2 linked regions of the Oryctolagus cuniculus genome follow. The main gene of each other region encodes a partner of the protein of the gene in region 2 in a complex. Links are inferred from orthologs where the notes say so. Each region holds a gene or a part of one and is shown on either strand. Other genes may lie near its edges.

Region 1 (3,645 bases), on a different chromosome or scaffold from region 2:
AAAAAAAAAAGATTTAATTATTTATTTGAGAGTCAGAGTTACAGACAGAGGGAGAGACAGACAGATCTTCCATCCACTGACCCACTCCCCAAATGGCCACAATGGCTGATCCGAAGCCAGGAGCTTCATCTGGGTCTCTGACACTGGTGCAGGGGCCCATGCACTTGGGTCATCTTCTGGTGCTTTCGCAGGCCACAGCAGAGAGCTGGATCAGAAGTAGAGCAGCCAGGACCGGTGCTGTGGCGCAATGGGTTAACACCCTGGCCTGAAGTGCTGGCATCCCATACAGGCGCCGGTTCAAGACCTGGCTGCTCCTCTTCCAGTCCAGCTCTCTGCCATGGCCTGGGAAAACAGTAGAAGATGGCCCAGATCCTTGGGCCCCTGCACCCACATGGGAGACCCAGAAGACGCTCCTGGCTCCTGGCTTTGGATTGGCACAGAAGACCTCTCTCTCTGCCTCTCCTCTCCCTGTGTAATTCTGACTTTCAAATAAATAAATAAATCTTTAAAAAAAAAAAAAAATGGAGCAGCCAGGACTTGAACTGGCGCCCACATGGGATGCTGGCACTGTAGGCAGCGGCTTAACCTACCACGCCATAGCTCCGGCCCCTGTTGTAATTTTCACGCTCTCTCCAGCTCCTCCTCTGTCCACGCCCTCCCTGTGTTTGGTGCCCACGGCAGTGGCGGTGCTAAGTACTTGAGCACTCCTTTTCCCATAAGACAGCGGTGCTTGTGGGCAGGTACACGGAGTGGAGCTATTTGACACAGCCGGTGTTCCCCTTTTGTTCCCCACAAAACAGATCTCCCCCAGTCAAATTTCCGCCGTTTACCCTTCGACCACTGCAGGTAAGGGTTTTGAAGGTTTGCCTTTCCCTTGCGGGTGCACTCTGACAGCAGAGGTGAGTCTGGCCTTGGGGGTTCTCTCTGGGCCCCCCGCACACCCCCACCTTCCCTGCATGAGGAGGGGGGACCCATGGTACTGACAGCCTATGGGCGGTGTTTGCTTACTGTGTGTATTTGCTGTGCTCTGCCTTTTAGCCTCATTCTGTTTTTTTTTTTTTTTAAGGTTTATTTTATTTATTTGAAAGGCAGAGTTACAGAGCAAAAGGGAGAGATGGAGACAGTGACAGTGATAGACGAAAGAGAGAGGAGAGAGAGAGAGAGAGAGAGGAGAGAGAGAGAGAGAGGTCTTCCAAATGGCCACAGCAGCCAGGGCTGGGCCAGGCCAAAGTCAGGTGCCAGGAACTCCATCCAGGTCTCCCACGCAGGTGCAGAGGCCCAGGCACTTGGGCCATCTTGCACTGCCTTCCCAGGCGCATTGGCAGGGAATTGGATTGGAAGCGGAGCAGCCAGGACTCGAACCTGTGCCCGTATGGGATGGTGGTGTTGCAGGCAGCAGCTTAACCCACTGCGCCACAGCACCAGGTCCCCTCGCCCTGTGTGTGTGTGTGTGTGTGTGTGTGTGTGTGTAAGTAAATAGTTGAAAAGCAGAGCAACCCAGAGGGAGAGAGTGAGGGAGACGTACAGCGAGTGAGTGATCCTGACACCCCCGTCAAGGTGGGTCAGCTGGACATGTGGTAGGAAAGGGCCAAGGGCTCTGCCCCAGGGGGTGCAGCCACTTAAGCTGGCCAGCTGGGCCTCCCTGCACCTGTCCACGGGTCCCCAGGAGGCTCCCGCTCAGTCACTGGTTGGGGAAGACCTTTGCCCCTGCTTGCCGGCACCTGGCTGGGGAGGGAGGGTGACCAACCAGGGCCCAGGTATCGCTGGCCGAAGTCTCTCCACCCCTGCCAGGCTGGTGCCGCCTCCTGGTACCGTGGTCTCCTCTGCACTGATGGGAAGACAGAGCTTCTGGCCTTGGCGCCTGGCTCGCCCACGAGGTGTCTTGTCTGTGTCTTGATGACCCCTGTGGGTTGTGGGTGAAAATGCACCTGTGGGTCACGCTTGGGAGCAGGTGCCTGCTCGCCACACACTGCCTGGCGCAGGCTGTGGTGTCGAGTCCCGCACTGCTCGCTCATCGCTGCCGCAGTTAGAGTGTGAGGGCCCCTGCACCCGCGTGGGAGACCTGAGTGGAGTTCCTGGCTCCTGACTTGGGCCTGGCCCAGCCCTGGCTGCCGTGGCCATTTGGAAGACCTCTCTCTCCTCTCCCTCTCCCCTCTCCCCTCTCCCTTTTTCTCTCTCTCTCTTTTTCTCTCTCTCTTTCTCTCGTCTGTCACTGTCTCCATCTCTCCCTTTTGCTCTGTAACTCTGCCTTTCAAATAAATAAAATAAACTTAAAAAAAAAAAAAAAAGGCAGGAAATGGCCTGGTGGTCCAAAGGAGGCAGCATCCTGGAGGTCGGGTAGCCAGGCTGTTCAGAGCGTGGGGGACCGACCTCTGCTGATTCAACTCCTAGGTGACAGAGCAGAAGCCAGGTGAGCCAAGGCTCTGGATGACTTATTGTTATGGTTATTAAGATTTATTTGTTTATTTGAGAAGGCAGAATTACAGAGAAAGAAAGAGAGAGAGGTGAAGAGAGAAAGAACTTCCAGGTCTCCTGTGTGTGTGCAGGGGCCCAAGTCTTTGGGCCATCCTCTGCTGCTTTCCCAGGTGCATTAGCAGGGAGCTGGATAGGAAGTGGAGCAGCCAGGGCTTGAACCGGCGCCCATATGGGATTGCGAGTGTCACAGGCAGCAGCTTAACCCACTAAGCTACCGCACGGGCCCCTCTGGGTGCCTCTGATAGGAACCGCATGCAAGGCCAGGGCCACTGGCACGACGTGATTCCCCAGGAGCACTCTCCATGCCTGTGGGGATGACTGTAGCCAGGCCTCGGGGGGCTCCTGTGCCCCCTGGCCCCCACCCCTGTGTCAGAGGGACTCAGGTCTTGCCGGGTTGTGTGCCCACCCCCAGGCAACCTAGGGGATTCTTAAGATGGCCGGGGGTAGGCAGGGCCTCTGAGATCATGCCAGCCCCGCCGGACCACCTGCTCTGTGAACAGAGAGAGGCAGTTCTGGTCTGGCCTCCCCAAGGCCACGCAGAGGGGAGTGAGGGCAGCCAGGACCCTTGCCTTGTCCTCACCAGTTTGTATGGGCCGTGCAGCGCGGCCCCAGAGTTGTCGGAGGGAGGCCCGAGGGAGGCCTTGCCGCGGTGCCTGCCTGAGGGCTGACCCAAGAGTGACTCTGTTCTCTCAGTCTCTCTCTACAGCCCTTCGTCTACCCAGTCTGCACCCCGGAAGGCGTCGTCTTTGACTTACTGTGAGTTGTTCTTGAATTCTGATCTAACACGTGTGGTGAGATTGTTGAGGACGTTGGGCCGATGTCGCGGTTTGTGGCTCCAGGCAGCACCAAGGCCGCCAGACCCCTGGTCCCGGCAGCCTGGGGAGACGCAGGCACCTGGGGCCATGGCAGCAGTGCCCCTGTGGCTGCCTGGAATTAGACCGGCCACCCCCCGCCCCATCCACCACTTGTTGGGGGGGGGGGGTCCCAGCGCTGTGTGCCCACTTCCATGTCCTAATGCAACCCGGCCTCTGTCATTTTAACTTCGTCTTGGGGAATAGGAAGCAAATGGGAAACTGCCATGGTCCCTTTTGTCCGTGAGGTAAGCACCATGGCTGAGACACGCTTATGAGCGGAGTGTGGGATCTGCCCTTGGCTTGGCACTGCCCCCAC
Region 2 (3,645 bases):
GCATCTCCAATAAAGAAAAATGATTTCAGGGCCAGTGTGTGATACAGCAGGTTAAGCCACTGCCTGTGACACCTGCAATCCCATTTGGGCACTAGTTCATATCCCAGCTGCTCCACTTCCGACCTAGCTCCCCCTGCTAATGCACCTGGGAAGGCAGAAGATGCCCCAAGTCCGTGGGTCCCTGTCTCCCATGTGGGAGACCTGGATAGAGTTTAGGCTCCTGGCTTCAGCCTAATCTAGCCCTGGCCACTGCGGCCATTTGGAGAGTGAACAGCAGACAGAAGAACTCTGTCTTTCCCTCTCTTCTGTAACTCTGCCTTTCAAATGAATAAATAGATCTTATTTTTAAAAAAATTTCTTTCAGCTGAATGAAATTGTGACCAGCAGACCCACAACAAGAAATGTTATAGGAAAACCCTTCAACTAAAAGGAAAATGAAAAAAAAAAAAGAAAGAAAGAAAAGAAAAGAAAAAGAAAATGATACCAGAGAGAAACCCAGATACACACAAAGAAATGGAAGAACATTGAAAATGTTATCAACAATTATGGTTGCTATGGTTGTTATTTAAATCTCACTAAAAGATAACTGACCACGGGCCAGTGCTGTGGCACAGTAGGTTAAAGCCCTGACCTGCAGCGCCAGCATCCCTTATGGGCAACAGTTCCAGTCCCAGCTGCTCCACTTCCCATCCAGCTCCCTGTAAAGGCCTGGGAAAGCAGCAGAGGATGACCCAAGTGCTTGGGCCCCTGCACCCAGAAGTTGTTCCCGGCTTCAGCCTGGCTCAGCCCCAGCCCCAGTCACGGCAGCAATTTGGGGAGTGAACCAGCGAACAGAAGATCTGTCTCTCTTTCTCTCTCTCTGTGTCTACCTCTCTAATTCTACTTTTCAAATAAATAAATATCTAAAAAAAGAAAAAGAAAGTATAAAATTGGACCGGTGCTGTGGCATATCGGGTAAAGCCACCATCTGCAGTGCTGGCATCCTAAATGGGTGCTGGTTCGAGACCCGGCTGCTCCACTTCCGATCCAGCTCTCTGCTGTGGCCTGGGAGGGCAGTGGACGATGGCCCAAAGCCCCAGGGCTCCTGCACCCAGAAGAAACTCCTGGCTCCTGGATTCAGATCGGCCCAGCTCCGGCTGTTGCAACCATTTGGGGAGTGAACCAGCCGACAGAAGATCTCACACTCTCTCTCTGCCTCTGCCTCTCTATAACTCCAAGTTTCAAATAAATAAATAAATCCTTTAAAAAGGCAATATTTAAAAAATGTAACTGAGCATATAAACAGAAATAACAGCCATGTGCTAGTACAGGATTTATAGCACACGTAACGTAAAACATACGACAGCAGCGTAAAAGGCCAGGAGAGAAGCCAGCCCTGCTGTGCGGAGCCTCTGGCAGATGACGACGCGGGTGGGAACGATGAGCAACCACGGAAACTCACAACAGAGGTCAGCTCATCAGCCAGCAAAGGTGACACAGAGCCAAGCGGAGTAAACTGTTCAGTAGCCCGAAAGGCAGACAAACAGGACAAAGGGAGCTGCGCAGAGGTCCGAGAGGTCGCTTCTCGGTAAAGGGGCCAAATGGGGAAGACTTCGGACTCCGTCTCCACAGCTCAGAGCTTCGAGACCCCGGCCTGTGCACAGCTGTGCTTCTGGGGCCTCAGCACACACCTCCGGCCCCAGGCCATCTGCAGCCGTCTCAGCTCCCACACCCCCTTCTCAATGAGGTCTTCCCAAAGTCCACCTCCCACCACACCCCTCCACAGCCACTACCTCCCACCACACCCCTCCACAGCCACTACCTCCCACCACACCCCTCCACAGCCACTACCGGGCTCCTCGGCCCCAGCACCCTCATCTACATCTGAAACGACCTTCGACGGCCGGCTCCCTCGACGGCCTCCCTCACGCTGCCTCCCCGCTGCCCACAGACAGCCTGGCCCAGAGCTGGTGTTCGACGACGCTGACAGAAGGGGCGGGGGGGGGCGGGGGGGGGCGGGGGCGGCGGAGGCAGCCCGCTGGCCCAGAGCTGAAGGAAGAGAAACCTCCCCCCGCCCCAGCCTGCCCGCTCCACTCACCCGTCCATCGCCTCCTCGATCTTCTTCTTCCTCAGCTCGATGAGCTCGGGGGTCTCCATTCCAGCGGGCACCGACGAGAACCCTCCTGGGGTGATGAGGCCACTGAGGAGAGAGGAGTCAGCGCAGGGCCAAGAGGGAGCCCGCGGGGAGGGAGCCCGCGGGGAGGGAGCCCGCGGGGACGCACCCCGCAGGGCCGCTGCGCCCACCTGTCTGCCGGCGTGATGAAGCCCGTCTCATCTGGCTTGTCTTCGTCGCTCTCCTCCTCTTCCTCTTCCTCCGAGGACTCCTCGTCTGAGGGCTCCAGTTCCCCCCACGGGGTCCGATCAATCTCTTCTTCCTCAGTCTTGGTCTAGGAGAGATCACTCAGTCATTCGACAAAGGTTCACTAAGTGCTACCGCGTGCCACGCTGTCGTGAGTGGGAGGGGCACAAGTAGCCAGCCCCTGACCCGAGCTGGGCACAGCGCACTCTCACTGCAGCACAGAACACGCGCCCCCTCTTCACTCTGAGGAACACCCAGCACCAGGGTACTGAGCTATAGCGGCTGCCTCCAGCCAGCACCCTCAGGCCTGCGGGGACCCGGCCCGTACCTGAAATTCAGCAGCGTTGGTTCCAAACACGTCCCCGTAGAGCGGCTTCCCGGTCTCGTCTACTGGGGGCTTGCCCCAGCCGCCGGCATGGTACCCGAAGGAACAGCTCTGCAAGACGCGGGGCACAGTCAGCTCCACCGCTGAGCTCGAGACCGCCGCAGCCCTAGAGCAGTCACTCTTCCAAGGACTGAACGTGCGCTCAGGAGTCCGGAAACAGTGTGGAGAACCGAATCCGCGGCCCCACGGCGGCACAGGGCGGTCAGAGAGACAGCACAGGCCGGACACTCCCCTGCACGGCGAGGCGAGGGCGGCCTCCGGCACTGGTACCTCCAATTTCATCTGAAGCTTAGCAACGCCACTTTTTTACTTCAATGGCCTCACTTTTTTTTTTAATTTACTGCCGTTTTGAAATGTCATGCTGTTGCTGAGATGAAATCGGAGCTGCCTGCCTACGACGCACGTGCGAGGCACAGGGAACGCGCCGCCTCGGTCAGTCGGTGTGGCTGTTTCTGCGCTCGCCGCAGCAGCAGACGGGGGAGCCCGGCGCGCGCCCGCACAAGCACGGCCGTGAGTTCACCACGTGTCCTACAAGCCCTGGGCGCGTCTGGTGACGAGCCTGCCGCTCGGCTCACCTCTGGGCTGCTAATGCTGAGGGAACACTTTATCGTGAGCGTGTCGCTTTTTTAAACCAGTAGAATCTGTTACTTCCTTTCTGTTTTATAACCAGAGTGGAGACGAGGAGAAGGACACAGAAACCCCCTCCGTGAGACAAGCAGACAAGCAGAGGCAGCCAAGACCGAGAAGGGACGACACTCACCTCGGGGATGGGCGAGTTCAGCCCGGGGATTTTCAGGTTGGGGTACGATGGGGGTGGTCCGTACCGCTGCATGGCGATCAGCCACGGGGGCGGGACCTTGTGGGCGTTCTGCAGCATGAGAGAACAGGGGAGCGTCTGCCTACCCTGCGCTGCTCTGCCGCC

What was found. The genes of interacting proteins can lie anywhere in the genome.
Region 1: SF3B2 (region 2) and PPIL2 share a complex: the UniProt entries of both Homo sapiens proteins name them as parts of the minor spliceosome. The link is inferred for Oryctolagus cuniculus from reciprocal best matches to the Homo sapiens genes SF3B2 and PPIL2.

Annotation. Positions count from the first base shown.
Region 1 is NC_091452.1:29,123,084-29,126,728, reverse strand, and holds part of PPIL2 (RING-type E3 ubiquitin-protein ligase PPIL2), read left to right. Parts: intron 1-800; coding exon 801-846; intron 847-3,168; coding exon 3,169-3,231; intron 3,232-3,645. UniProt on the Homo sapiens protein: Has a ubiquitin-protein ligase activity acting as an E3 ubiquitin protein ligase or as an ubiquitin-ubiquitin ligase promoting elongation of ubiquitin chains on substrates.
Region 2 is NC_091432.1:5,756,055-5,759,699, forward strand, and holds part of SF3B2 (splicing factor 3B subunit 2), read right to left. Parts: intron 3,592-3,645; coding exon 3,484-3,591; intron 2,775-3,483; coding exon 2,667-2,774; intron 2,427-2,666; coding exon 2,284-2,426; intron 2,180-2,283; coding exon 2,078-2,179; intron 1-2,077. UniProt on the Homo sapiens protein: Component of the 17S U2 SnRNP complex of the spliceosome, a large ribonucleoprotein complex that removes introns from transcribed pre-mRNAs.